4 linked regions of the Diceros bicornis minor genome follow. The protein of the gene in region 1 purifies or fractionates together with the protein of each later gene. This does not show direct contact. Links are inferred from orthologs where the notes say so. Each region holds a gene or a part of one and is shown on either strand. Other genes may lie near its edges.

Region 1 (7,368 bases):
GAGAGAGAGGAGCTTGGGTAAAAGTGTCCTTTAGCATTTGCATTGCTCTTAGCTGGATGAACTTGCCTGCAGCTACCACTTACAATGCAAATTGAGCTTAGAGTCCTTCACACTAACTACACAGCAAAAACCTTTCAGCTTTAAATAGAATACTGCAGCGTGGAATGATCCGAGCAGAGGGAAGAAAAATTCAGAGATAAATGCAAAGGAGATCTTGGAGAAAAAAAAATCTGACATATCTGGGCAAGTAGGAAAATGCAGAAATATCAAAGGAAACAAAAAGAAAAGCAGTACATAGAAGGACCTAGAAGCTAATTCCCTAAAAGTGGGTTTAAGCTAATAAAAGGGAAGAGAAGTTTGGGGACAAGCCCCCAATAAAGTGGATTTAACACAGAATATTTTGATCTGGTGCTCTTTCAAGATATACCAGCACTTCTAAGGCATTCATCAGAAGAGGAGGACTCTTCCCCTTCAGGCTGGCGCCACTGCACGAGTGTTCCCTAAAATGAATAGGTTAAGACCATAGACAGCTTCCAGCTCTACCTAACTTCTGCTATTCACATTGTCTAAGTTCCATTTTTTTTTTTCTTCCCAGACCTTCACCAAGATCAGGTCAAGAAACCTGGAAACCTACTGTGAAATAAAGATTTGTTTAGTTTTGAGTGTGTTTAGTGCATGTGTGTGTGTGTGAGAGAGAGACAGAGACAGAGAGATATCTGAGAGGTTGATTTAGAAAGATTTTTGAAAGCTCTTTGCTATAAACTCATACCTCATTTTTCACTACATGAACCCAGATATTTTATCCAGAATGAGAGTTTACAAAAATGCCATAAAATAGAAACAAAGATTAGGCAGTATCTAGGGCCCTGAAAGCAATCAGGAATGCCATTTTTAACTCGTTTCTTCATTCTACAGATGACACTCCTATACACGTGGCCCCAGTTTGCCCATCTTCTCAGCTCAGTAAGTTTCCTTTGCCTACACTTGGAGGCATAATGCAATAGAGAAGAAAACATGAAGGCAGCCCTCTTTCTTTGTTGTCACAAATAGAAAGAAGTGTCCCCCCAAAAGCCAATAGACCCAAGGACATCTTCTCTCTTGGATGACATGCTTATACACAGAGCTAATCATATTCTACCTGGTAACCGAGTCAGTGACAAAGCAGTAAGACTGAGGAAGAACATCTCACAACCACATCGTCACCATGCAAATAAAAAGAAATCAGCAAGTACGGTGCTTGGTATGGGGGAGGGATAGACTGAACATTTTAAAAGCCATCTCTAAGCTCCTGGAAGCCAGAGATCTACAACTCTGCTTAATCTGTCTAGCACCATGGACACATTAGGCTTGATGCTCTCCAATAATAATGATGAATGGAGAATATATTTTCAATAGCGTTGGGCATGCTTTCTATCTAAAACTTCCAGGGATGTTTATAGAAGATGCCACATTTACCCCCAAATTGTGTCTTTTTCTTTCTTTCAGATCTTGAACTTTTTTACTCCCCCTGTCACATTTCTCTAGTAGTGTTGATTTGATGAAATATTATAGAAATTTTAGCATCCAAGAATAATACCAATAATCTTAACATACCTCGCCACATTTTCCTATAGCACCTGCACACCCATTTCCTCACGTGGCTATTGCAATGTGATAATGCAACACATTATATGAGTGGTTAAGGATAAAGGCCTACAGGTAGATAATGAAAGCAAAAATGCAGAAGTTTTGGTATTTGAAAAAAAAAAAATGCCTCCACTCTCTATTCACACACAAAAGGCGAAATGAGATTCCACCTGCTGACTTTCCCTGCCTGGCCACACGGCACTCAGGCTAATGTCAGAACAAGCTAGGAGAGAGAGAGAGAGACGACAATTTCACCTCCTGGCACAGCTCAGCTTACTGAACCCTTTTGCTTTCTGCTGGCTGTTGATTCAGCAGAAACTACTGCTGCAGAATTCATAATGGTGATTTTTAAAGGCCCCACTGATCCCATTGCTCGCCCCACGTGTCAGACTCATTCGCTCGCCGCCGGAACACTGCTTCCCCAGCTACCTTTTTATTTCTTGCTAATGCACCTCCAAGGGGAGGGGGGCTCGCCCTTTTGCCCAGGGCCTTTTGGGGTTTTGATTGTCTGAGCAGGTAACCCGGCCGGAGAGATGAACGGGCAGGAAATGAAACCATGCCCTCCCTGCAGCCACTGAGAGAGACAACATCATTCCGCTCAGGGAGGGGAGGACCTGCGGTCCTTCTGGGCCCCTTCCTTCTTTTCTCCCCGCCAAGACCCCTGCAAACATCTTGAGGGAGTGGTCATCTGCCTTTTGGGGGTCATTTTTCCAGCCAGGAACCCCACCCTGAAAAGCCTAATCCCCGAGGGCCATTTTAACTCCCGTGGGCGCCGGGTCCACCTGCTGCTGAACGCCAGGCTCGCCTCGCGGAGCCCGGATGGATGTGGGGCGCACTGGCGGCTGCCCCTGTGAGCCAATCCCCCGCTCCAGCCCCGGGGCCCAGAGGAGTCTCCGACGCTCCGCGCCCAGCTGCCCGTGGAGCACAGCGATCCGCAACTTGCGCCCGGCCCCAGCGGCGGAATGCGGCGGGGCTGGCGTTACCTTCGGTCGCATAGCTGTGGTCGCGCAGGAAACTGTTGTTGATTTTGCGGGTATCAATGTCCTCCTCCATTGACAGCAGGCTTACTTGCGTGGGAACCAGAAGCCGGCAGACAAGTATCCATGATCCCTCCCCGCAGCCAGTCTCACAGGAGAGGGGGGCAGGGGAGCCAGTGGGACTGCACCATGGTCCGAGCCTGAGGAGGAGACGGGGAGGCGGAGAGAAAAAAAAATAAAAACCCGGCAATGGAGCTGTCACCTCCTCCACTCGGGATCTCCGAGGCTGCGGCGGCTCCTCCCGCGGTGCGCTCACTCCAGCTCCAATTCCCAGCGAGGATGCTGCGCCTGCCTCCGCTGCCTCCGGGTGCCAAGATGCGCCGTGCCCCGAGGGGTCTGGTCCCGCCCGCCGCCCCGGAGGCGCTCACAAGCGGGGCAGGGGAGATGCCCAACAGGTTCCCCTCGTTGGCAGCCGCTCCAAAATGCAAAAAAGATCCCTCCTCCCTCTGGAAGAGCGGGCAGCCGCGACAAAATGGTGCCTTTCTGGACCCGAGCTGCAGTGGCGAGATAGTAGGGGCAGGATTCAGGCTTGCCCGGCCCGGAGGAGGGTGCTAGTCCCACGGGAGGGCGGCTCCGGCTGGCGGGGGCTAGGAAGCCAGCGGGGAGCTGGGCAGGGCGCTGCGGCCGGCGCCAGCGCACTCACCCTCACACCCACACGCGCGCACTCGCAGCTGCTGCTGCTGCAGCAAAAGGAGGCTGGAGGCGGCTGATGCGTTCAAGGCGAGGCTCCTCCCAACCGCGTCAGCAGCCCCAGGACTCTTCCCCAGCAGCGGTGGTGGCCGAAGCAGAGGCTGCGGCTGCTCTCTGCTGCAGTGGGGCGCACGCAGCCGCGAACCGGCACCTGGGCAGCAAGCAGCTAGCTTGCAGGTTCACGAGAAAAGCTAAAACGTGCTCTTCCAACCTCCCTCCTCTGGTGCCACGCAGCTAACGGCGGTCGGCGTTTACTCGAGCACCCGGAGTCCCTAGTTCGCTGCCTTTCTCCAGACACCTGCGCTTCAGGACAGCAAGGAGAAGTAGGTTCCCTTGGGTAGGCAGGAGGTCTACATCCAGGTCCCTTTTGTTCACCCTTATATGATGCATGCGATCCCTTGATGAAGTTAAAGGGCGAGGCCTGGGGCTCGAAGCCTCAGAAAAAGAGAAGAGAATGTGAAGATGAGCTGCTCAAAGCCTAGCTTAAGCCCCCTCGGTGCTAGGCATAGAAGGGGGAACAGGGGCCAGAACTTTTCTACGGTCACATCTGACTTCGTTCCAAACAGAGTCAAAAACATCTCATTCTAACTGTAGGCGTCTATGTCTACACAGCGAGAGGGAAGCAGAGGGCTGAGTTATGAATCTAGTCAGTGGAGTCAATCTGAAAAAGTTCATCTTACCTAGCCCTTTGCACTTTTGGGCAAACTGCTGAGTGCCATCCTGTAGGTTTTGCTCGTGAGGACACAGCACTGCAGGAACGGCTTACATTTACTTTCAACGTGGAAGGTACGTTGGAGCCCTGAGCCCACAGAGAGCCACTGCTACTCTGAGGGTGTTTCAAAGATCCCATGAATACAAAAAAGAGGCCTGTCTTCCTACTTCAACTAGGAGGAAGATATAGAATTTCCTATCCTCTCATGTTTCCCCCAATTGCAAATTGCAAATGCTGTATTTGAAAGAAAATTAGATTATTGTCATGAAACAACTAAAATCATTTACGAAGCAACGCAAATCACTAGAAAGCCAATTTGGAAAAGAAATTTCCCTGGTTTCCTCTTGTAGAAGGTATTCATTTCAGTGGGTGTCACACTGCAGGGAGAGACATCAGCACGTCTTGCTCAGTTAAGCTCCACAAGTTTAGTTAGATGAGCCCAGAGGGACCTGTGAGTTAATTATATACATACAATGCTTCAGCTAACACAATTTAGAAAGTATTTGAAGTTCAAAAAAATGGGAAAACAAGTTCTTAACTGAGGTTGGGAATTGCCGTTAGAGTTCCATGAAGAATAGATGCTTCTGGCAGGTGGAAAATGGCATTGTCCCTATCTCCAGAAAGCGATCGCGTATCTCCGGGCAAAGAGAGTAGAAACATTCTTTGATATAATTTGGGGGGGAGGTTTAGCTTATAATAGATTCCATTTTATTCTCATCTGGTGGTGAAGTCTTACATACTTGTTTGACTATTTGTTCAAAATTCACATATGAAATTCCAGTAACAGATGAAGACTGGTGCAAGTTGATGTAATCCACTTCTGCATCAGCTGCCATGGAAGGTTCTTCCACATGATGAGCTGTATCCATCACCAAGGCTCCAGCGGTCAGCTCATTTATAGTTACACAGTCCAGCTTCTCTTGCAGATCAGCATAATGGGGAAGAGCGGGGGCAGAGGGGAAGAAAGCCAAGTTCATCTCAAAGTGGTGAGAAGACATCTTGCTTTCAGTTGAAATGACCTTAAGTTGCAACAGGACACCTTGGAATAGTATTTGGGAAATTCTCCCCCTTATCTTCCTGGAACGTGGGCTGGACTGGAACAGAGCTGCCTGATGAATCAGGTAGGCCCAGGCTCATTGGCCAGGCTGTGCTTCAGGAATTTTCCACTGTAACCAATGGGACAAATGTTTCCTCTGTAGATCAAGCCTCCGGGTTTACTCAGTTTTCCCTTTCTTGTTCCCTGCAAAATTCCTCCTGCGTTTATTCAACAATACAGGCCTTTTTTCCCCTAAGATACAAGTTCTGAGAAGGCAAATTAGATAGATCTCCATGGATTAAATAGATTCCAAGATTTCAATTTTGTGGACCACTCTTTTTTACTTTGAGCAATGGGGAACTAGCCCCTCCAACCAAAACCAAGAAAAATAAAGCTGTTGCCTTTGTGCTTTAACACAATGACATGTAGCAAAGGAGGGAAGGGGGTGAAAGAAGCCCTGTGCAATTCTGTTGTGGTAAGAAGACTACACAGACTGTTTCTCAGAAGACTCGCTGACCTTCTTTCTACTCCTCCAACATGTCAAGTCCTTTCCAAAAGCTTTTGGCATCTGCACATGCCATTCTCTATGCCCCTTGCTCATGTTCTCGGTATTCTTCAGAGTCTCAGCTGAACAGTCCTTACTTCGTTGGGGCATTCCCTGAACACACTATAGCCTCTTCCTCTGGTATTTTCTGTCTCTACATCTTTTTTTTTTTTTTTTTTTTTTTTGTCGTCTTCGTAGTGCATTGCATTTTGTAATAGTTGTTTACTTATTACTGTCAACCATTCTCAGTGTATCTCTGATATTAAGTGTCTGGCACTTAGTAGATGCTCAATTATATTTGTTGAATGGAGATAAATATTTCTTGAATGAATGAGTAAATTACTGAATTTGTTCCGTGATATTTAGGTTTTATAGCTCTACCCTTATCAAAATTCTTGCAAACCTCCTGCCCCAAAACAAAGCCTGTAATGGTGAGCCAGTAATTTTCTAGCTTGTAACTCCTATTCCTGTTGAAATAATTGTCTTACCCATTCCTGTATGCATATCCACCAAAAATATTTACTGAGCACCTAATATATGCCAAAAATTGTTCTAGGTGCTGGGGATACAGTCAAAACAGAGTTCGTTTCTTCACAGAACTGAAACTCTGTCATTTGATTTTAATAATATGAGCTTTCTTAGAAATACAACAAATGCATTATAAAGCAACAGACTATAGCATAATGTTAAGTGCCAAGGCTCTGATATCAAGCAAAGCTGATTTTCTGCCATTTATTGTGTCCTGAGCAAGTTGTAAGATCTCTCTAAGCCATGTTTTTTAGTTTTTATTTTTTAAATCTATAAATTAGGGAGAAGAATAGAATCTACTTCATGGAGTTATTGTGAGGATTAAATGAGATAATGCTTGGAAATGTTATACTGCTACTAGTTGTTATTTACTATCATTACCACCATCAATATTGAACAAATAATTTAAGCACCTACTCTGTTGGCCACTGGGATAGGACTGGAGATTCAGCAACATCAATGCGTAAGATGGATAGTCTCTGCTGTCAAGGAACTTAGCATCTAAGTTACAGTTTATGTAAAGGGGCCACAGGCTACACTACGGGCAACAGAGGACGCTCTGAAAGGCTGACCTAATTCAGGCTTGTGCTTTACACAGAAAAGGCCAATTACAAGTACACAGCCTTCTTAAGTTACACAATTCGGCATGACAGCATGTGGACACATTCTTTTTTTATCACCCTTGTCATGGTCCCTCTCCCCCAATACTCCCATACAACCTCACCCCAGTTAGGTTAGTGCTGCCTACACTGGAACCTTTTAGGTCATCCTGTCCAATTCGCACATTAAATATCTACAATTTTATTCAAACCTTTGACCTAAGCCAGTCTGGGGATTCTTAATATAGGCTTTAGGTGTCAGACAGTCCTGGTTTGCGTCCCGGCTCAAGCATTTATGAATTTCATGACCTTTGGCAAGTAATTTAACATCTCTGTGCCTCAGTATTTGCAAAAATGGAAGAAAGTAATAGGAGCTACTTCATAGGGTTGTTGAGTGGCTTCAGAGACAATGTAAAGAAAGTACTTAGTACAGGCTTGGCCCATAGCCAGGCCTCACTAAAATATTGGTTCTTCCTCTTAGCAGTGGCCCCTCGGGGTCTCCATCTGCATAGAACTGGAGAGATGCACTACAAGTCAATCATTCATGTGAACAAAAGTGACTTAGAAACCTCAGTTTTACCGCCTCTCAATGTGTT
Region 2 (7,684 bases), on another chromosome or scaffold:
ATGTCACAAATTTAATTCCTCTTTCTTGATAAAAAATAAAATAAAAATCCTACTCCTCCCTCATATGGATGGCCACCTCAGTGAAAGGCAGAAGCTAGAAACCTAGATCTTATCCTCTATGAACCCCATCCCTAATCCCAAATCTAACGAAATCACCAAGACCTATCTACTCCAATACTCAAATCCAGACGCACTATCATCATTTGCCTGGACTACCCTCCTGATATTACTGCCTTTAGCCTTAGTCTACCCTTCAATCCAACCCTCCACATTGCAGCCAGAGTGACCTTTTAAAAACACAAATCTGATCATTTCAGTCCCCTACATTGAATCCTTCAATAACTTATTTGATAAATATAAATGACCATCAAAGCTAGTCACTCCACGGAAGCTCAGAGGTTCAATGAGAAATTTACTTTAGTTATATTCTTTTTTGTAGGTTCAACACAAAGAATCATCAGGAAATTTTAACACCTGATACATTTAAAAAACAAGCATGCAGCACTGTTTGTAAAAGCAAAGATGAAAATAACCTCAAGACCACCAAAATGGAATACTACCCAGCCAAGTAAATGAGGCACGTCCATATGTACTGTTGTTCAATGATCTCTAGGATCTATTATTAAATGAAATTTTTAAAAAACAAGCTATATACAGAGTGTACAGTACGCAAGCATTTGTCTGTGGTGTGTTTTAAAAATATAAATGTATAGGCCTATATATGCTAGAAATATCCCAGGAAGGAGACACAACAAAATGGAAATAGTTGCCTCTAAAGAGGGAAAATGGGATGGTTGGACGACAAAGAGGGAAGAGAAATTTTTTACTGCATACCCTTTTGAACCTTTTGACTTTTATACTACATTTAGTTACTACCTATGCTTATAATATGACTTTCCCCTCCTCAGTTCCACACAAAACAAAATTTTAAAAGTACTGACTACAAAAATCTCTCTATACTTCATCCCGATACCAACGTTAAAATTATGCACTGATCATTTGGTGTAACATTACATTTCCTTCTTGACAGCTCAGGAGTTCAACTTCAACAAACAACATTTTATTCAATATTTTACTACTGCTGAGAAGGCTGTTGATAACATCAGTGAACACTACATGATAACTGAACTTGCTCCTTGGAAAAGCAAGGCAGCAGGTAGCAGAAACTTATTATTGAATGGATACTTAAATTTTCAGGTATTAATTAAAGCTACAAATCTTACTTTTCCAGGAAATTCAAAAACAGCAAACCAAAAAAAAGTCCCCTGGTATCCTCCAAAAACAGTGCAAAAGACCTGCAAAAATCCACAAGGTGAGGCAAATGATACTACATGGGGACAGCTATACCCATTAGTGTAACGTGATTTAATCCTTATAGAGGTCCCTAACACGTCGCATCCGGACTACCTCACACGTTCCACAGAAGAGACAAGATGAGACACAGGCTGTGTGACCTTATAACAGCACACACACCCCCCGCCCTGGGCTTCCATACTCTTCCCTCTTCCTCTCTTTAGCCACCAGACTAAACCGTCCAAACATGGGTGTCAGTTGGCCCGCTTAAGCCCCACTGGGAGGAATACACTAGGCTAAGCAAACATCCCTTCAGGATTTCACGGCAAAGCCCTTTCAACCAAAAAAAGGATCGCCACCTTTCTCTGAAGGAAAGAAAGATAAGAAGGTCTGCCTGAGGAGAGCAGGTCTGCGGGGGGGGGGGGGGCGACAGCAGGGGTCGGGGGAGAGGCCGCTGTCTGCCGGTGTCTAGAGAGGCTGACACCAGATCCACCGGGAGGTTAGAGCATCACGAAGCAGACTCGCCGAAAGCCGAGTTGGGTAGGGGAAGAGCTCGTCGGCTGGGCGGTGAGCGAGCTGAGAGGCGGGGTCCGCGGGGAAGAGGGATGGGCAGCGATGAACACGCCTTGGAGCTGGGGGTCGCAATGGGTTAGGGGGCGGCCGTGACTGGGTCTCAGAGGAACTGTGATCGGGTCAGCTCACGGGAGGATGTAACGGAGCCCGGAGGCTCCATTAAGAGTCGTAAGAGAGTCCGAGGGGGGTTCTAACGTCGTGTGCTGGGGTAGGGGCCCGTGACAGACCCGCCGGGGAGGCTGGAGGACCGGAACGGCGCCGGCCCATGGCAGATACGATGGGTGCGGTCTACCGGAGCCCCGGGGCAGCGATCGGGTGTCTGGGAGGCCCCGGGGACGACCCGCGCGGGGCGTCTCCGCTGGGGCGGGGCGGGGCGGCCCCGCAAGAGCCAAAGAGCGAGACTGAGACGTGGGCCGGGCCGGCGGCAGGGCCGCTGCGCTGCTTGGGCGGGTCTTACCTCGGGCTCCGCCGCGGTGGCCACCACAGCCCCCTCCTCTTCGACGGAAGCCGCCTCCCAGCCTCGGTCCCAGGGTCAGACCGGAGGAGACAGCGGAGGCGGAGGCCCCCGAGGGTCGGACGGTTCCGGGAGGGTGGGCCCAGCTGCCTCAGGGTCCGGGCGAGCGGCCGCCGCGCATCCCCCGCCCTGTCAGAGAGACTCCGCCCGGCCTGGGCAGGCACATCGCCCGCCGCACCCCGCCCAGAGAGCACGCGTTGGCCCGCCGCCTCAACCGCTGTCGCTGCCTCTGCCGGTGCCGCGGGTGCCTCCGCCGCCGCCTTTCACGGTGCCGGCTGGACTCTCAGCAGTCACCGCCAACCGCCGCCGCGTCCCTAGTCCGCTCGGGCGCGCGCGCCCCCGACCCCGCGCACGCGGCCCCGCCCCACGCGACTCCCCGGCTGCAGGCGAGCAGGCGCGCGCGCACCTACCTCCCACGCCCCCTACCGCCCGCCCGAGCCGGCCCTCCGGCTCGGCCCCGCCCCTGCGCGTGACGCCGCCAGCGAGTACAGCTTGCGCTTGCGCGGACACGCCTTATCTCATCCCGCCCAGGAGGCCCCGCCCAACCTTTTCTTCCTCACCTTACGGCAGAGTTGGGAACTCGGCCTTAGATTTTCCCTCTACGAGAGAGGACTGTCGCAAGGTTGAGGTAGAAAATTCTGGGTTTGCGACCGTAGCTCTGGCTTTCCGGCCAACAGCGAGGTGCCAGAAGGCTGAATGGGGTGGTGAGGCCCCAGGCAGGTAAGAAGCCGCCTCCCCACTTCGGTTTGTCAGTCAGTGTGTCCCAGCAGGGGACTGCTTTGCTGTCCACGCAGCTGTAGCGTATTCGTGCCCCCTCCCCAATTCTGCCGCAGGGTTCTCAGCGCCGCCCCTCTTAGCCCCCGCCCCTCTCCACGCACACGCCCCTTCCTCCTGCATTGGCCCGCCCCGGACCTCCGTTTCCTAGTCTTCCTTTCCATTCATTCCGCAGACTTTTCATTGAGTGGTTTCCGTGCATTAGACTCCATAAAGTCAGAAGCGAATGAAATAGTCTCAGCTTTCTGAAGTGCTGTGTTACGTGGAAGACAATGAGAGAATCCGCAGTGGTGGTGTAGTAAAATCATAACAGAAAGAAAGCACAGGATACTCTCTGAGCATAGGAGAGAGGCCCCTGGTTGTGTAGAAGGACGGGAGGAAACCCCTTCCAAGGTGACGTTTGGGTCGTTCTTAACTTATGTTAAAAGGCTCGTGAGCAGTAGCTGGTCGAAGAAGTGTTAGATGAGATAGAAGCAAAGAGAATGACGGCTACAGAAGCATATGACGGTATTGGCTGGAATGGTAAAAAAGAGGAATAGAATATAGCTGGTGGAAACCATACTGGTGTAGACTAACCTTTAAAGAAGCATTGCTGTGAAGGCTCAGAGCGATGAGAGGCGAGAATGTGGGCCGCAAGAATGTTTTCTTGAAAGATGGGAGACTTGGGCATAAAAGTGTACCATGGAAATGAAAAGTGGACAATTCATGGTTGAGAGTGGCTAATTTATAGGATCAAGAGCACTAGTGGAACTCAATTTTGTATGCACATTAGAATCACCTGGGAAGCTTTTTTTAAAAAAAAACCAATGCTGTTGGTCTACCCAAGACCAATAAAACAAACTCTGGCATCAGTAATATTTTAAAGTTCCTGAGATGGCTCTAGTGCTGAGGGTTGAGAACCACTAAACTAGAGAAAAGGAAAGGATGGAAAGTAGAGAAAGGCAGGAAGTTGCTGGAGTTGGCTCTGTAACATTAAGATGGGAGTCATTTGATGAAAGAGTTAGGGATAGAATGAGAAGCTTGAGCAGAGTGATAAAAGTTTTGAATAACTGCTGTGGGAAATGGGAGAAAGAGTCACTCCTGCCTTTTCCTTCAGCACAGTTCCATCCCTCAGTCTTAATCAGGCCCACCTCGCTTACGACTCTCTTTCCTCTCCCTTTCACTTCCATCCAGGATTTGTCACCTGGGGATCCAGCCTTAGAGCTCAAGGGCATCCCCATTTCTATCCCCAAAAAGATCAGAGCTAAGCCAATTTATGAGATTCAAAGGCTGACTTCACTCCCCTACACACAGTGCCTTACCAGTTTAGAATCTGTCTTCTATTATTCATTTCATCAATCATTTAAGTTAGGAATGAGATATAAGGATATTTAAGATATAGCCCTGTTAGGATCTCATAGTATTAGGGAAAACAAAGCTTTAAAAGAAGAATTCACTTGGCAGGCGAAGAAGGTCTTTATAAGGCAAAGCCCTAGCCAGTCCGTGGTTATTCTCTGTTAACTAGGGTTAATCCAAAAACCTGTCTGCCTGCCTCCAGATAAGAGAGGTACTGTTGTCTGGTATGACTGGAGTTTAGTATGGAGAGTAGGGGTGGGGCAGAGATAAAGATGATAAAGTGGGTGTGAACAAATTATGAGGAGCCTTGAATTCCATGCTAAAGCATTTATATTATATACCATAAGCAATTAATAGGTATAAGTACCAAAGATAAAAATAACCTCTTTACACCATGAACCTCTTTGTCAGCCTGGCCTGTGGACCCTATCTCAGAATAACGTTTTTAAATGTATAAAATAAAATACATAGAAACATAAATCAATTTCATTAAAAGTTTTGAAAATACTAAAACAAGTGTATGGCATAGTTATGTGCTTCTTTATGCATTAAATAACGTCTGGCAGCAGGTCTAATTATGTAATTTCAAAGTAGTGATGAGTATAAATTATATTTTCAGATACTTGTAACAACTTTAAAGTGATGTGAAAATATCATATTTCTGTTGATGACAAAGACATAGGGACTGCTAATGCTACTGTGGATTATTGCCTACACCTATTGAAGAAAATGCTAAATTTTAGCTGGAGATATTGATAATAAAGATCCAACTTTTTTCCCAATTCAAGTTTGTAGAACCCTTAAATTCTAGCCACATCTTGGCCCATCAATCCTAGATTTATAAAAAGCTCACTGTAATGGTTTTAAGCAAGAGCGTGACAGATCAATCTGTATTTACTAGAGCAGTGTTCACTTCCCGACCTCTCTGTTGGAGTGGGAGTGGGGAACTGGCTGTTTTCTTCTGCTCCTCCTGTACCTTAGGGGCAGCAACCAGTACGAATCCACTGTTGCCTAATAATTTGGGCCTGCAGGAGGACTGAGCTTGTGGCTGTATTTGTAGAGGCAGTACTAGGAAATAAATTGGGAAAGATAAGTTGGGGCTATTTTTGTGGAAATCATTGAATGCTAGGCTGTAATTTGTACTTAATTTGGTAGACAATTGAGAGATGTGAAAATTTTTGGAGTAGAATAATGTAATTAGAGTTCTGTTTGAAAAATTAATCTAGCAGTAATGTGTAGGTTAGATTGTCAAAAGAGAAGATAGGAACAGAGACTAGACCAATAAATAAATAAATAAATAAATTTTTTAACTAAATTTTATATAAAGTGATCTCTCCAGAATCTGCTGAGTTACTTTATTTCCCCAATGTGACTGACCAGTCTAAAGAAACATAGATTGGAATAAATTACATACCTTTCAAGAGAGATGTGCACACTAATGTGGAGGTCAATTAGCATTTTACGTGGTCAAGAGGCTAGCCCATTCTTTTGTATTATAAATGATAATGTTAGTACTTCTGATAAGCAGTGGCTTTACCACATATATAGGTTCCCAGAGGTTGCTAAGGCCTTCCTTGGTTAAATTCCATCTAGACATGTAAGTCCTACATTGCTGACTCCTTAAGGTCAAAACACCTCTCTCTTTGCCAATTCCTTAAACCTCTTGGATAAGTAAAATGCGTTAGCAAACGAAAAGGAAGTCCTCAAGGCCCATCTCTTTGGAAACTGATCAGTATTAGACTATATAAAACTTACTGCCCGAATCCTGGCTAGCCTCCAAATTGTGTGCTTTTTTAAACATATTATTCAAAAAAATTTTTTGAAGGTCCAAATATTACTAATCAAAATGAGTAAATGTGAAGTTACTTAACTTTCTGAACCAGATTCTCTGAGAGACTACCTTCTTCAGCATGAGTATAACTTTAGCTTGACCACACCTTGTATTGACTTTGTCCATCTAACTATTGGAGACTATTTGTGTAGTGATAAGGTTCAGTACAGACTGAAAATCAAGTTTATGTAGAGTTTGAGATTCGTCTATCTGTCCCCTTTTTGGGGAAAGAGAGGAATGGGTGCATCTTAAAGCAGAGAATACTTGAAATTTATGAGGTTTTTTTAAGAATTTTTATTACTTGCAGAAAATCTCTGAAAGTTCCTTTCTCGGGCTTCTAATTAAATGGCTACCCCTTCGCACATTCATCTGTTATGGAAGCACTAGAACACAGTCCTGATACTGGAAAAAATTGTCCCAATTACAGTTATTATTTTTGAACATCTATATTACAGGTTTAAAAACCTTAAGTCTGCCTTCCCTGATAGCCAACAAATAAATAAATGCTCTCTCAGAGTAGTGTGATAAGTTAAATTCCTTCAAAACAATAGCTTGAGGATTTCTGGCCTTAGTTGGCTCTTAATTTTCTCACAGCAGCAACTTGTCACTTTACATTAAAATAAATAGTTGCTGGAAATGGTTAGCCCTACTTAGTAATATGTAATATCATTCAGACTTGGTCAGATAACTCACAAGTGTTTGTGTTAATTAACATTTAAAGACAAATTGCTAAGACAGAAAATTCTATATATCATGTGTCCCATCAGACTCTGTTTTCCTGTCAGCACAGTACAGTAAAACGTAAGTTCATTATTTCTTTCATTCATTGAATATTTATTGAGCCCCTAGTATGTGCCAAGCACATTTATGAATCCCATTAATTAAGAGTTTCTAATAACAATTTACCTCTTAACTATCTATGAAAAAAATAACTTACCAAGCTTTGAAATCTCCAGGACAAATAAGATTAAAAGATGGCTTTTTCGGACTCTTTCAAACACTATGTTTACATATTGCTACTATGTGCTGAACACAGTGATTATTTATGAAATCAGGCAGATTATTACTTTAGCTTGACCATACCTTATCAGCTAAGTATATCAGCTATATACTAAAATAAAAGTCTGTCCACTCCTTTATAAAATACTATCTTAGACCTCTCATTAAATCTAATGGCCTCCTCACACACTGTCTTTACAACCCCAGTCATTTTAAATTTTGCAGTTGTGTAAAGTCATTTCTCAGAAAATTTAAGCAAAACAAAGTCAGTTTAAGAAAAGGCTGGTGTTTACACCAGGTTTATAATAAGGAAAAATAATTGTGACACAATTATAGATCTAACGCTTGAGATAGAAATAGTAGAC
Region 3 (8,015 bases), on another chromosome or scaffold:
AAAAAAAAAATTCCATTTTCTGTTGCTTCACAGTCATGATTTGGATAAACATCATTCAACCAAAAACACTGTGGGTCAGTGATTATGCTGAGTTGCAGCTACAAAAGTGAACAAGACCATCTTTCTGGCCCTCTGGGAGCTTACATTTGTTGAAGATTTACAAAAGTGCTGGTCTCTCAATAGAGTCACACAACACAGTTGCTTGCCCTTTCTCTCCAACACCTTTGAATTTCACTCTGTGGTCTGCTACATTAAAGAGTAGGTGACAGGAGAGCAGTATCTGAAACATCTCACTCCAGTCCCAACCTGCCCTCTTTTCTCACCTCTCTCCCTCACTGTTACCTCTCTGCACCAATAAATAACTCCTGGGCTCAGCTGGTCAGAGCTGCTCCTGACCAGAGGTTTAGGATTAGGAATACTCGGCAGCTAACTGACTCCAGTTGGAACTGCACACTTCACCACCATTCACCTTAAAAGCCCACACCCTAGGTCCCACTGGCCAAAAACTAGGCCTCACTTGGGTAGGTTCAGCATTTGCTGAGAAAACAGCACAAATCACTAAACCCACTGATAAAGGAGGCCCAGTGCACTGGTTTGGGGGGATATATATTACCATCTCAACAGAAACACGAATAGATTTATACCAACTAACCTAACCTGTGAATTACAATAAATTAAAACAATTGCCCTCAATACAATCCCCCTTATTTTCTCTCATGTCACCTCGATTGTCTAGACACCTCAACACTGTCTAAAGCCTCTGTTCTGCAGCAACAGCCCTCCTCCTCAGAGAAAAGATGGAGTCAGACTGAGTGCCCCAAAGCTAACAAGACCAAGAGGCCACTGACTGCAGGTCCTGCGGGAAAATACTGAGAGAGAGGGTGGCAGAGGCTGCGATTCCCTCGAAAGTGCTGGCGCGTGGAGGGAACCAAGTGGCCTCTCCTGACACGAAAAAGCGGCTCACGGAAGCTTACAGAGGACTGACCAGCAAAACACTGTTGTCCTTCAACCCAGGCCACACTCAAGGGACGCCTGAACTTAGGTTTATCACCGAAAACAGCGGAGCCCCCTCTGCCTGTCCTGTCCGAGCCTCTGAGGGAGACACTGAGGGCGCTGGATAAGCAGCAGACGCGTCCGCAGCCTGGGCCACCGCACCCTCTGGAACCGACCGACACACACACACACACCCCACCCCCCTCCGTGGCCCGGACCAGAGCTCCTTGGCTAGGTATAACCCACTCCCACAGGTGAGGGTGGGCAGATATGTGGGAGTCAACTGTGTATCCAAAATGTGATTATAACCACCCCTTCCCCAGCACATCGACAGGGGCAAAGGCATCAGCTGAGAAAAGCAAGCCTTCTAGAAACAAGAAAAGCTAATTGGGTTGAGAACTGGCCCGGACTCACAGATCTTGGTGCTCCTTCTAGAAGTTTTGACTTAAGTTCCCAATGCCCAGCGTGTGCGGCGGCAGTAAAGTGAAGGGCAGAAGGGAGAAAGTCCTTGTCAGGACCCCAAAGGCGGGCCCCTGCGCGCACCCAGACCCTCCGGGACACCTGCGGCAGAGCCGACTGCTCACCTTGAGATAGTCGTTCTCCGAGCGCAGCTCCTCCATCTCTCGAAGCAGCTCCTCCTCCTCCACCGCCGGTACTAGCCGGGGCTGCTCGCCCGCGCCGGCCTCCTTGGGGGTCCCGGGGACCGTTCGCTCCAGCGGCAGGCGTCCCCCGGCATCCTCCGCCACGCCGGGCCCCGGGGACCCCGCGGGGACCCCGCCCGGGCTGCCCCGACCCCCGAGGCAGGCGCCGGCGGCGGGGGGCGCGGCGAGGAGGGCGGGGGGCTCGGGGCTGCCCGGAGGCGCCCCCCGAGCTGCGGGACTCGTCGTGGGGGCTCCTCGCAGGGGTTCCCGGTCGCTGGAGCCAGTGCCAGACTCGGCGTCGCTGCTGGCGGCGGGGAGCAGGCGCTGCTCGTCCGACAGGGGTTCAGAGGGGCAGTCCGAGAGATCGGAGCTGCTGTCGGTGTGGCTGATGCGCGAGCCGGGGGCCGGGGAGCCGGCCGCCGAGGTCACGGCGAGGATCACCGCGGGGACCGGGGCGGCCGGGGTGGGGAGCCCGGCGGCGCGGGCGGGGGGCGCCCCGGAGCCACGTCTGGCTTTGCGGCCCTTCGCTGTGGCGGGCGGCGGCTCGGCCCCGAGCGGCGGCGGCGGCGGCTTCCCGGCCCGGGGCAGAGGCTCGGCGGGCGCCGCGCGCGCTGCCCTCCTGGGGCCCGGAGCGGCCTTGGCGCCGCCCGCTGCCCTGGCCCCGGCGCCCGGCGGCGGCTTGTCCTTCGCGCCCGGGGCGCCGCCGCTGAGCCGGGAGAGGCGGCCGGGCGCGGCCAGGGGCCCCGGCGAGGGCGGCGCCTTGCCCGCGAGGCTGGGCGAGCGCGGGGCGGCGGGCGCCGGGGCTCGGCCCGAGGAGGGGGCGGCCGGGGCTGGGCCGGGCGCCGCGGGCCGGCCGTGCAGGTCCTTGAGGAATGGTCTGGCGGGCGAAGGTGCGCGGTGCAGCCGCCTCCGCTCGGCCAGCGGGTGCAGGTGGTGGTGGCGGTGGTGCTGGCCGGGCGGCTGCGGCTTCGCGTCCGGCGCACCGCCGCCCGCGGGGCCATTCAGCGTCTCCATGGCCGGCGCCCGGGCCGCGAGCAGCAGCTCGGGCGGCAGATGCTCCGGGCGGCGGCTGCGTGCAGCCTCCCGGCGCGCTCGCTCATCACTGTCCGCCAGCCCCGCCCGGTCTGCGCCCCGCGCTCCCGCGCCGCCGCCGGCCCCCCCGCACCCCCGGCCCCAAAGATCCCCGCGGGGCTCGCAGCCGCCGTCGCCGCACTCTCCCCTCGCTGAGGTCACTGCCGCTCGAGTTCTCCCGGCGCAGCAGCGCGGCGGCTCCCTGCCGCTCGCATCCCCTGGACGCCGCGCTCCCGGCTCGCGGGGCCGCCGCCGCAGCCTCGCACACCAGCTCTCGTCCGGCAGCGGCGCGGTCGGCGCGCTCCCCGCCCACGGCGGCCCGCGCCCGGCAGCGTCCGCCCGCCGGCTCCGGCCCGCGCCCGTCCCCGCCCCCGCCGCTCCCGGCGGAGAGAAACTGCACGCGCGCTCCCCCGCCTGCCCGCGCCCTGTGCGCATGTCCTGCCGGCGGCCAGCCGGCGCTGGGGGTGGGGCGGAGGCGGGGGGCGGGGCCTGCGCTCCCCCGGGGCTCGGGCGCGCGCTGTGTCCTCAGCCCTCTCTGCCCTGGGTCCCTCCTTGCTTTTTGAGGCCCCAGAGTCAGTGCCAGGAGCTGGGGAGGGAGGGAAGTAGCAGAAGCGAAGTGGGGGTAAGGTGGCGGGCACTGGCCGCTTGTGGGAGACTGGAGGTCCGGGAGGCGTGGGTGGGCCCCTCTGAGTGGGGCGCCAGCTTTCCCTGAGTTGACCAACCCCCCCCAAAGGCCCCTCCATCCAACCCCTGCCTCCCAGGACCCGGTAGTTCCCCCTCCCCCACTGTCCTATCCAAGTGTGCCCAGAGTCTCCACTCTCCTTTAAGGCTTGCTGGTACCCGATGCAGCTATCGCGTCAAAACGGACACAGCACTCCACAGTTGGCACCCCCAGTGGCCTCTGTAGCTCTGACAAGGAGAAGCTGCTGTAGAAATAGGAAAAGCAGCTCGCCAAGCTTGGAGTCAGAAAAGGAACTCACATTTATAGTTCCGGCTGCCAGCCAGGCACTGTTCGACACTTCATAGGCATTGTTTTATTTAATCCTCATAACAAGTCCGAATTGGAATTAGTCTTCTTTAAGGACGGGGACATGGGTGCAGGGAGGTGAAGTCGGTGCCTTAGCCAGTCCATGGCTGGGCCCGGAGTCACAGCCAAGTCTGTGGAATTCTCAATCCTACACGCTATCCTCTCAGAGAACTTGCGAGTCTGACGTGGGCCACTGACGTTTTTGAGCCTCAGTTCCCTCGCCTGTATAATTAGAAAATACTGCCACCTGACTTTGGAGATTAAATGAGCAAATACGAGAAAACACTGTGTAAACTGTAAAGTGCTTTTCAAATATTCTTGAGCGCAGCTTTTGCGTCACGCGTTGGATGTTGGGCAGTACTCAAAGGAATAAGGCCCAGTCTGTCGTCTAGACTCAGCTTTGGGGAAGGCAGTCATTACAAGTTGCTGGGTGGGCACTTACCCAGCTGGGGGAGGTTGGAGTTTCCCAAGAAGGATGAGTTGGTCTCCTGGGTGAATGCCCAGGACTTGCCAGAGCAGAGGCTGTAGGTGAGATGACGCTGGAGGGGTGGTGGGCCCAAATATCCTTCGGCGGAATTGGGACGTTATCCTAGAGGCTGGGGGAGCCGTCCGAGGATTCTGAGCAGGACTGATCTTATTTGCTTACAAATATACCACCGGCGGCAGCAGCAGGAGAGGGAGGCCGATGAGGGGGAGCTGTGGCAACGAGCACAGACGACGGGGCAGTGGGAGTAGGGGTAGAGAAAGGGGGACAGACTTGTGAAGATAAAAGACTAAAAGAAAACTAGACTCCCAAGTCTGATCTTAAGTACGAATTACCCTACTTAGCCACCTCCTTCAAAAAAATGCGGGATAAAGTGATTTTTTTTAATCCTGTAAATCAGCAGGGCCGTACTCCCAGAAGACATCCTATCTGCTTCTCCTCACATCCCCGCGGAGATGCCTGCCACGCCCTGTGACCGAGCTCTGAGGACGCTGGAACCTAGTCTGCTCTACTGCTCTCTTGTTTCATGTGAGTCCTTTCCCTGGCAATTCCTCTGAATGTGTAACAGCACACACGGAATATAATCGGTACTGAATCTCCTTTGACTCAGTATCTAACAAGAGCACAGCCATGTTTCATGGAGTATTTGGAGAAAAAGGGCACTGGTGGTGACAACACTGCAGAGAGGCTTGAGAGGTGCCGAGCCACCACGCCCGGCCAGCTCTCCCCTAGAGGGCGCCCTAGCCCCCCTTCCGGAGCCGGCCAGTTAATCAGCGTGTGGCCGCTGTCAGTCCCTGGAGCACAACTGACTGGAACGCGGGGTCCAGGAGCTTCACTTAGAACTTCTTCCAGAGACCCAGAGTCTCCATCACCCTCACTTTTCTCAAGAATTATGTCCAGGACTCTTAGCACAAGCATGCCATTCCTCATACCACAGATATCATGCAAAAGACCACCTTAAAAGTGTTTCAAGGGGCCGGCCCGTGGCTTAGCGGGTAAGTGTGCGCGCTCCGCTGCTGGTGGCCCGGGTTCGGATCCCGGGCGCTCACCGACGCACCACTTCTCTGGCCATGCTGAGGCCGCGTCCCACATACAGCAACTAGAAGGATGTGCAGCTATAACATACAACTATCTACTGGGGCTTTGGGGGAAAAAATAAATTAAAAAAAAAAAGTGTTTCAGTAAGTTAGTCTTCCAAAAAAATTAGCCAGGTGACCATACTGTTTGTGGCCAGCGTCCCTTTCCTTCCCGTAGTAAGTCAAACAAAACCCCTACTCTGGATTATTAGCCTGGCATTTGCTTCTGCTGGCCTTGGCAGCAAGGTGTTCAACAACGCTTTCTTTGTTTTCCAATATTCAGTGAGTTACAGGTGTAAAGAGATATCTGCTTGCATAATAAATATTTTTAATGTCACATGTGATTTTTAAACATTTTTTGTTGTTAACTCAAGTTAGTCTAAAGGCAGTAGGGGGTTTACTATTTAAAGGAGCCTTGAAGAGCTTTATTCTGGAAAACAATAAAATCTAGTGTGCGTGTGCCTATTTGGGTTTGTCTGCCCTCACACTCAGTCCTTGCCCTTCCCCAACTCACTCTGTATAGAGGGGAAATAACCCATAAAGGTTGGTTTTCCAAGTTCCTGGGTTTGCTGATTGGGTTTGGCCAGTGGGAGGCGCTGTGGGAGATTGGCGTGTAACAGCAAGCGAGAAACCAGCGTAGCATTTCTTACCTTCTCTTTCTGCCTTAAGTGGCTTCTTCAGAGTGGCCAGCTCTCCTCTGTGGACTGGCTTATTGGGGTTTCAGCTTTCACTGGACGACCTGCTCCCTCTAGTAACTTCACCTCCTCCCATTGCCTCTCAGTGGAGGGTGGTAGTGGCTGCCTGTGGTTGCAAATCTCTGGTGACTTCACTGTCCCCTGTTTGGCTCTTGATTCCTCCCCCACCTCTGTGACCAATTCCCTGCAGTGTAATCCCTGTGTTGTAAATCCTTGCACTACACTCCGGGGTTCCGATTTTCTCATTCTTCTGCAGAGGCCTAATTACAAGCCTAGGGAACTGCACGCAGCAGCTTTGATGTAATAAGTAGTTTAGTATAACTGTGTCCATGACCTCCTTGTCAAAGAGCAATGAGGTATGGTGACAAGAGGTATTGGCACCAGGTAAATCTGGGTTCAAATCCTAAGTCACTTGCATTCTGTTTGCCCTAGGGTAAGATATTATTATCAATATCACCATCATCTTTATTATTTAACACCAGTGGAATAATCTTCAGTACTCTTTAAAATGTGAGCAAACCAAACTTGGAGAGTTAGAAATCTAGTCTATGTCTGTACAGTTATATAAAGAGAAACAATTTTTCACTTTGTTTGACTCATAGAGGAAAAAATACAAGTTAGGACTGCACGTCCCTTGCTACTCTGTATTCACAGGCAGAATTATATGCAGAATTTCTGCACCCTCAAAACCTTGTCCAAACCTAGGGACATATCTATTTTCCAGTGTTTTCCCTTATTTTAACACGAAAGCACATTTAGAATATGAAATCATTTCTTGTTTAAATAATAAGAAATCATCCTCTTTGAAAAGAGTGGAAAGCAGAGATTTTTAACAGAGTGGGCAATTTTTTGGGTGCTTCAGGAAAGTTAGGGTTAAAAAGGGACAACGTGAGGTCAGGTGGCCCTCCTGCGTTTGAAGCTGATGTGTCCACCCCAGAAGGGGGCAGGGTGCCTCCCAGCTCCTCTTGGAGGGTTACTGCCAAGATGCCATAAGGGGCCTGAAGCACAAGGACCACTGACCCTTTCTCATGACCAGATTGGCAGCTGTGCGTGCTGGTGACGGTGGTGATGAGGATGGCTTCAGAGGCTCTTAAACCTTGAGTACATTAAAATCACCTGGTGAGCTTGTTAAACTTGCAGATACCGTGGCCACATCCCCCCCTGATTTCAAAGGTATGGAGTGGAGCGCTGGAATCTGTGTTTTTAGTAAACAGTTTTGATGCAGGTAACCACCTGACCACACTCTGAGAAACACTGTGTTAGTATTTGTAACACAGCTCCAAGTGTCGTATGCTTGTCATTTGCATTTCCTCATGGTTCTTTTTGAAACCTCATTCAGTGCTGTGTAAAAATCTGGATGATCAAGATTAAGAGATATCGATAAAGATTTACTCAGTTAAAACCGAACTGGTCACATGTCCCACCGAAGGCCTCTCGTAGCACCAGTCTCGGGGAAGTGGTGAGTCTCCCTCTGACTTGAGAACCTAGAGGAAGGATATCGATGACAGTAGAAGGAGGGCCTTTTGCTCTGGAACAGTGCTTCTTAATGAGGGTGGAAGCACCCTCTAGGAGCACTGTGGAAGTTTGTGGAAGTATTTTTTGTTGTCACTACAATGGATTGGGGAGACTAGTGGGATTTAGGAGGGGAGTCAGAGATGCGAGATGTCGTCAATAGGCCTAGAGAAGAATTGTTGGCCCACATGCTGCACAACTTCCAGACCTCCTTCTGAAACATTCACATAGGTTAAAAAATGTATATATGTTTATCATTATCTGAGCCTGGAATGTAACTGTTTGTCTTAGTCTGTTCTGGCTGCTATAACAGAACACCACAGACTGGGTGGCTTATAAACAGTAGAAACTTATTTCTCGCAGTTCTGGAGGCTAGAAGCCTGAGCTCAGGGTGCCAGCATGGTTGGGTTCTGGTGAGAGCCCTCTCCTGGGTTGCATACTGCCTGCCATCTTCTCGTGTCCTCATGTGGTGGAAGGGGCAAGGGGTCTCTTTGCAAGAGCACTGCTACCATCCAT
Region 4 (7,317 bases), on another chromosome or scaffold:
AGTATAGTTTCCAGCAAGTGAAATTCTATCATTATGCATTTGAACTTGAAACATGGCATAATCGTTTTTATCTTGGCTGCTTCTTTCCTTTAGGATATCTAATTTCAGTAGGCTTTTCTTTTTTGAATTGGAAACTTTTACACACAAAATCCTAAACTGGAGAGGCTGAGTTCCACAAGTGATTTATGTAAGTCTGAATAAAATATAAATGAGGGAGGATTATTTGGGAGCAGGGAAGAGATTTTGCAATTGAGTCTTCCTAGTCTATTTAGAACTTACACTGGGATGTTAACAAATTAAGAAGGCAAAAGTAACATAAATGAAGAATTGGAGTGTGTGGCACTAAGCACCAACATTTCACCGGATTCTTTATTTGTATTATATGTACAGATCCAAACTGTCATTATTCTCTGTATGATGAGATTTACACTATAATTCTGAATTATAATATAGTTCAGTACTAAACTACTGAATTCAGAAGTTTAAATCATTTATGGCAAAATTTATTTTTTTTTAACATCAGAGGTGACTGAATTCAAAAGAAGGGTGTTAAAGTGTGTTTTGTTTATACATGGGTTTAAATAATAAAAAATAAAATGCCCTAACCTTTTATCCTCAGGCTCCTGCCTGTCTGCTTTGTCAGCCAAGTGGATGTAGTGGAATGACACCTCAAACATTCCCAGAAGGCTGAGGGCTAAAATGTCAACCTTTTCCAGCAAATGTTCACAGTAAAGTTACCAGGCATTTCTATACAATTTGGCTTTTCCAGATGAGTTGGGCTTGTTCTTTCCTGGGAGCCATTATGATGCTAATAGGAGCGGCTGGTACACAGAACAAGGTAGCTACAGATTCAGTGGCACCTGGAATCTCACAGGGGCCCCTGGTCATTCTTTGCCCACCCCTCCCCCACCTATCATTGGAAATTAGAGAACATCTGATTAAGAGCATTATAGCAGTTACAGGTCTGCTTCCAACACTGAAAAACAGAGTAGTAAAGGCCTGATATTTTCAATGCACCTTTGACGCTGCCAGTCTTAAATGTCCTGCCCAGGTGGAATCAAGCCCTTGACCTTGACATTGTCTCTAACAGGATCTCGACAGCTTGTCCAGCTCGTGGTAGTGGAAGGGGCCGGGTGGTCGGAATAAAATCCTTCAACCCCTCTAAATAGACAGATGTCGCTTTTCTGCCAGGCCCTGCAGCACACCTGTCTGCCCTGGGAAGTACATTTCTCAGCTGCAGCTCCTAAAGGCCAAGAGCTTTAGGTCGGGTCCCGGGGCCGGGAATGAGGATGCTGGGCCTGAGGGGGACGAGGGGGGGGCCCGGTGTCCGAGCCCCGGCGTAAGGTCTCCCCACCCCAGGCCCAAGACTGGGGTGGGAGGTTTGGAGAACCGCGCAGCAGCCACCTCATCCCTGCTCCCACACAAGACACACCCCCGGGGATCGGTGCCACAGCCCCTGAGCCCCTCCCCGGGGTAGCGAGCAGAGCCCTGCCGGCCGCCGGCCGCAGGAGAAAGTAAACAACACCCCAAGTGTCTGGGAACAAAGGCAAGTTGTCTTTCCACGGTGCCGGAGCCGTGCGCCTCTCCTGAAGAATAAGAGCTATTATTATTCTTTCTTTCTTTTCTTTTTCTTCTTCTTTTTTTTTAAAACCAAGTTTCCTTCTAAGGGAAATAAACACCAAAGGTAGGATTCCAAGGAAATGACTCACGGCGGTTGGCAGGGCTCTGGCGAGGCTGGCCCCGGCCCCGCGCTCCAGCCCGCAGCAGATGCCTGCCCGGCCCTCCCTCCCTCCCTCGCCGGCCAAACCCACTCGGAGCCCGCGGCTGCGGGAGCGCCCTGCGCATCCGTCGGACGCGGGCGGCGACGACACGGCCGGCGCTTCCCGCAGGCGTCCGCCCTGTCCGCGCCACCCTCAGCCGCCGGGTCGCCTCTCCCCCCGCCTCTGCGGCCCCAGCCGGGCACTCCGGAAAGTTGCTAGGGCCGAGGAGGCGGGAGGGGAGGAAGGGAGGAGAGAGGCGGAGGCGTGGACCAGGCGGGCAGCAGCCGAGCCCGCCGGGGAGGTGAGCTGAGGACAGAGGAGCCGCCGCCGCCCGCAGCGCGGCTCGGCTGCCGGGGAGGAGGGTGCGGGGGCGGAGGTGGCGGGGGGGGGGGGGCAGAAGGTGTCAGCTCCTGCAGCTATTCCCTTTTCTTGCAAACGCGCGCTTCTGACATCCACAATCCCTCCCTCCCCACCTGCCAGGCGCCGCAGCAATCAGACCTAGGGCATCCCTCCTACTGACCCCCGTCCCCTAGGATAAAGGAATACGCGGCCACCGAAGACCCTGAGGTCTCACCAGAGCTGCTGTCCCCTGTCGCCCTTTCAGTCGGCTCGGTGCGCGCTGGCGGCAGCCGGAGCAGCCCTAGAGGCGGCGGCGGTTCCCGCCCGGGTAAAGGCGCCGCGGCGCACGCCATCCCCGGGAAAAGCCCGCGCCGCCTCTGCGCCCAGCTGTGCCCTGGCCCTCGCGCCGCCCCCGGTCCCGCTCCAGCGGGTGCGCGTCCACTCGGTGACCCCAGCGCAGGCCCGGTGCCAGGAGGGCGCGCAGGAGGCCGCGTGGGTGCCAGTCCGCGCGAGCAGACGCTCAGGGGGACCAGCCCTCGCCCTCCGCCCGCCTTGGCCCTCCGCCCCCGCCGCCCGCGCCCAGCCCGGCTCTTACCGCGGGGTCAGCCGGGAGGCGGCGGCCGCAGCGCTCGCGCTGCAGCTTGTCCGCTCTGGGCTCGGCGCCAGCCCGGCCGCCGGTGCACACTCGCGCCGGTCCCGGCCCGGCGGCCCGGTCGGCGGTGACCGCTGGTGCGCGGCGGGCGAGGGTCCCGGCAGGTCCCGCCGCCGCGACTGGGGCGCTGCGCCGCCGTCGCTGCAGACGGTTATGGTAATTAGCGGCTCTGTCTAGCGAGGAGCGTGTGAAACCCGTCAATCCTGTTTGCCATTTCCCCGTGGATTTCCGAGGAGAGGTTCTGCAGGATGCCCCCAGGGTGAAAGAGGGAACATGACAAGCGCGCCCGCTCTCCCTCCCTCCCTCTGCTCCCGCCGCCGCCGCCACTCCTCAGGCAGCACACGGGGCGCCTTCCCCTCACCCCCACCCCAGCCCGCCCCCTGCCTCCTTCCCGCCCTCCCTCTTCGCTCTCCTCCCCTCCCCTCCCGGTGCCCGGGGACACGCGGGCCCAGCTCCAGCCCGCAGCCCAGACCCCACGCGCTCCCGGGCTCCCGCCCTAGCCCTGGGGGCCCGGTTCCAGCCAAATAATGTATTCGCTCTGCAACCTTCTGAGATGTCTTCTCTTTTTTTATTTGATTTAGTTTTGTTGTTGTTGTGTGTGCGTGTGATTAAAAAAAAAAAAAAATCCGTGCCTTTCCCACCCTTTGCAAGAGACTTGCTTCTCCTTTGCCACGGCAAACGGAGATGAGAAACAGATGTCTTTGCAGGGCCGAGCAGTTAGTTATTCTCCCCTCGCCGCCCGCCCCCGCCCGTTCCCCTCCGGAGCTGCATATGTATAAAAACGCAACCTTGGTCCTGCTGCAACTTGAGTTGGCAACTCTTTCTGGATGGGGAGCCTCGAGGGAAAACCTCCAGGAAATAAAAAGTAATAAAAGAGGTTGTTCTTGGTCAAGAGAATGTAATTTAAGCCCCGGAATCACATTATTTTACAAATAGTAATTTTCCCCTGTATTGGGTTCAATTGGAGTTTGTTTTTTGAAACATTAATTCATAACTTTTATCTAGGGACCCCTCCCTAGTCGAGATGGGTCATTTCAGGTGTAATGAACGCAGAGGCTTGGAAGGCATAGACCTAATAAAATCGAGAGAAGGCACCTGCACAAAAGTGTTACAAAGACTATAATGTTTGTTTACTGCTACTATGCCAGATGTGCTAAATATAACGCTTCTTTAAAACAGTGATCCTCCGACTGTGAAAAACCAAACCTCTCCCTGCCTGGCTCCCTAGGAATCAGGGAGAGGCACAGACTGAAAATCGAGGAGGAGAGGAACAAGATCAAGGATGAGGATTAGCATCCGCAAATTGAACTCTATCTAATTTGCATGTTTATTTCTTAGAATTGTAATTAAATTTGTGTAATAAATGTTTTCCATTTCATTTGTACACAAAATTTGGGTGACTGACATGCAGTTAAGTGAATTTTTTTTAAGCAAATGTAGTTTATTCAATAAAGCAGCAAACAAATATTAAACATAATTAGAACTAATCTGCTTTGAAGGTATTTTTGTTGAACTTTGTACATTAAAGACTCTCAGAGGTTTTAAGGGTATTAGGAAGCTGAGAGAAGGCAATTATGCTGAAAACAGACTAACTCAACAGACTTCCAGGAGCATTATTTCATTTTTTCCAAAAGACATTTTGGGTTGCCTGTCTAAAATTGGGAATTGGGCCTCCATCTTGGTTTTATTCTGAACCACATTAAATTGCATTGGCTCATGCACGATATAGGCCATAATGATGATGATTTAGGAATTGTAAAGATTCCATTTTGTGCAATCAATGAGTGTTGCATGCCCAGGTTATGGGTAGAATATAATTTTCAGTTAGGTGGAAGAGGTGGGTAAGGAAAGGCATAAGGGCATTTAAAGTAGTGCAAGTATTTGAAAATCTAAATCAGTATTTAAAACTGGTTAGTGTCTAACTCAAATAAAGGACTAGATGGGAGGGCTTGGAGGCATGGCTTATTATTGTTTTTATCTCCCTATATTAAAGTTTTATAGCATTTAAAGGACTTTGGGGAAATCCCCACATACACTTGGCTATGTCAAAATACATAAAACCAAAAGGAGCACATTAAGCATAAAATTGAGAAATAACATGAGACTAAGTATCAGCATGAGTTACATTGGCATCTTTGGAGCTTTGGCTCTGAGAAATGAGCCTTCTGGGAAATTGGCATTACCCTTGGGTGGTGAGGACTTTTGGCTATAATGTTACAACAAAAGGACATCACAACAGCAGTATGAAATCATTGTACTTCACAGCACCCTTGTGGTTCTGAGTATGAACTTGACCCTGTCCTGTTCAGATATGTTATGTTAGCATGTTTTACCGACAGCTTTCCCTGCCTTACTTTTAATCTCAAGCTTAATGTTTTCTGAGATTCAGTGCTCAACTGTTGACAACATGAACCCATGTCTACAAGTAGAAAAGGCAGTCGAATGTCCACGGAATGAGAAACATCATTTAAACATTAAAGTGAGTAAGTGGTGGCTATGGCACAAGAAAAAAACTAACTGTAAATCAATAATGAAATATTTGGAATGAGTGCAATTTATAATGAATTGCAATATTCAACCTGAGAACTATGATGTCACCATTTTTGGATATGTGTGCGTGTGTGTATGTGTGTGTGTATGAAGTTCCGAGATAGAAATTAGGTGATAAAACTTAAAATACCTTGAGCTGCAAATTCACTGAAGGCAGTGATTGTTTTTCTCCAGTTAACAGAATGCCAGACTTACAACTGCTGAAACCCGTTTCACAAAAACTTGGTGTCATTTGAAAGGAGGATTTCTCAAGTAAAATTTGACTTATTCACATTGCTGAGGACACAATGCTCATTTGGATTAATAAAAAGTCTGAATTACTGGCTTTAAAAAAAACTGCAACCTTTTTACAACAGAAAGAGTTGTCTACATTCACTCTCCTCAATTCCTCTTCTCCCATCTCAAACCTTCTCCAATTAGACTTTCTTATCCCATCATTCCATTGAAACTGTTATGGTGTCAGTGTCACCAAAGACCTCCATGTTGCTAAATCCAGAAAGTCTATTCTTGGTTCTCATCTTCTTTGACATGTAAGCAGCATTTGACCAAGTTGATGACTCTCTCTTTCTCGAAACACCTTTTCTCCTGCTTCCAGGACTACATACTTACCTGGTTTGCCTCTTTCCTTACTGGTTCTTCCTTCTCAGTCTCTTTTACTGCGTCCTCCCCTTCTCTATGACCTCTGAATGTTAGAGGCCCTCAAGCTCAGTCCTTGAACCTTGTCTCTTCCTGTTAGCCATGCTCTCGTGGATCTCATTCAGTTTCATGGCTTCAAATACCATTTATATTCTGATGACTCTCAAATTTAGATCTCCACTTCAGACCTCTCTCCTGACCTCCAGACTCCACTTAGAACTTTGACATCATAAGCTTTACAGATTCCCAAATCGAACCGCTAATGGTCTCTGCTGCCCCAACTATGCCACCCTTAATATTCTCCATTCCAGTTAATAAACCACACTATTTTTTAAGTTGCTCATGCAAAACCTTTGGAGTCATCCTTGACTCTTTTTTTCCTCTACACCCTACATCTAATACATCAGAAAATCCTTAAGGCTCTACCTTTAACATTTTTCTAGACTCTGATCACTTCTCATCACCTCTACTGCCGCCACCCTGGTCTAAGCCACCATCATCATCTCTTGCCTGGGATATTGCAATATCCTCCCAACTGGTCTCCCTCATTCAGTCTTTGGCCCCTTCCACAGTTCACTCTCGGCTCAACAGCCAATGATGTCAATTTTTGCTAAGACTTTTCCTAGGGATCCCATTTCGCTCATTGTAAAAGCCACATCCTCACAAGGGCCTACAAAGGCTGGAGGTCTCCCTTTACTTCTCTGACCTGACTCTGTCTCCAGCTACTCTGGCTTCAATGTGACAGGCCTGTGCTTACCTCAGGACATTTGTACTGGCTATTCCCTTTGCCTGGAATGCTCGTACCCCAGATAGCTGCACATATCAGTGCTTCATTTTTTCCAAGTCTTTGCTCAAATATCACCTTCTTAACAAGGTGATATTTCTAACTCTTAAAATCGTAATACTTCATCTCCATATCTTATTTTGTTTTTTATCCAGAGGATTTATTACTTTCTAATAAGCTCTATATTTTACTTATTTATTCTATTTATCACTTATCTCCTTCCACTAGAAAGCACGGTCACTGAGGGCAGGGACTTTTTGTCTTTTTATTCACTTCTATATCTCCAGAACCTAGCACAGTGCCTGGCACACAGAAAGCACTCAATAAATATGTGTTCATTGACTGACAATTGACTAAGATTCTCACATATGTACAGAAACTCAAACAAGGCTCCTAGTCTAGTCTAGTGTATGCATGGATGTAGCTCCTCTAGTGTATGTAGAATAGTGAAAATAGGCAGTTCATTTTATCACCAACTCGTTTGCCTCTTGTGGAATTCTCTGGCCAAGTGCTCTTATCTGCCTTGCAGCATTCCAGGACCTGAAGACATTCCCAAGATCCCCAGGTGCCCAATGGTTTCATGCTGCCCTGCCTAA

The links.
Region 2: the proteins of PPP2R2B (region 1) and MYO9A purify together in Homo sapiens (affinity purification with mass spectrometry; 4 studies listed by BioGRID and IntAct, with this or other methods). This does not show direct contact. The link is inferred for Diceros bicornis minor from reciprocal best matches to the Homo sapiens genes PPP2R2B and MYO9A.
Region 3: the proteins of PPP2R2B (region 1) and MTCL1 purify together in Homo sapiens (affinity purification with mass spectrometry; 4 studies listed by BioGRID and IntAct, with this or other methods). This does not show direct contact. The link is inferred for Diceros bicornis minor from reciprocal best matches to the Homo sapiens genes PPP2R2B and MTCL1.
Region 4: the proteins of PPP2R2B (region 1) and SERTAD4 purify together in Homo sapiens (co-immunoprecipitation; 3 studies listed by BioGRID and IntAct, with this or other methods). This does not show direct contact. The link is inferred for Diceros bicornis minor from reciprocal best matches to the Homo sapiens genes PPP2R2B and SERTAD4.

Annotation. Positions count from the first base shown.
Region 1 is NC_080740.1:64,198,259-64,205,626, forward strand, and holds the start of PPP2R2B (serine/threonine-protein phosphatase 2A 55 kDa regulatory subunit B beta isoform), read right to left. Parts: upstream 3,019-7,368; 5' UTR 2,680-3,018; coding exon 2,610-2,679; intron 1-2,609. UniProt on the Homo sapiens protein: The B regulatory subunit might modulate substrate selectivity and catalytic activity, and might also direct the localization of the catalytic enzyme to a particular subcellular compartment.
Region 2 is NC_080744.1:65,556,937-65,564,620, forward strand, and holds the start of MYO9A (unconventional myosin-IXa), read right to left. Parts: upstream 3,006-7,684; 5' UTR 2,941-3,005; intron 2,702-2,940; exon of another isoform or gene 2,324-2,701; intron 1-2,323. UniProt on the Homo sapiens protein: Myosins are actin-based motor molecules with ATPase activity. Unconventional myosins serve in intracellular movements. Regulates Rho by stimulating it's GTPase activity in neurons.
Region 3 is NC_080755.1:6,944,191-6,952,205, forward strand, and holds the start of MTCL1 (microtubule cross-linking factor 1), read right to left. Parts: upstream 3,018-8,015; 5' UTR 2,649-3,017; coding exon 1,578-2,648; intron 1-1,577. UniProt on the Homo sapiens protein: Microtubule-associated factor involved in the late phase of epithelial polarization and microtubule dynamics regulation.
Region 4 is NC_080743.1:76,281,004-76,288,320, reverse strand, and holds the start of SERTAD4 (SERTA domain-containing protein 4), read right to left. Parts: upstream 3,019-7,317; 5' UTR 2,695-3,018; intron 1-2,694.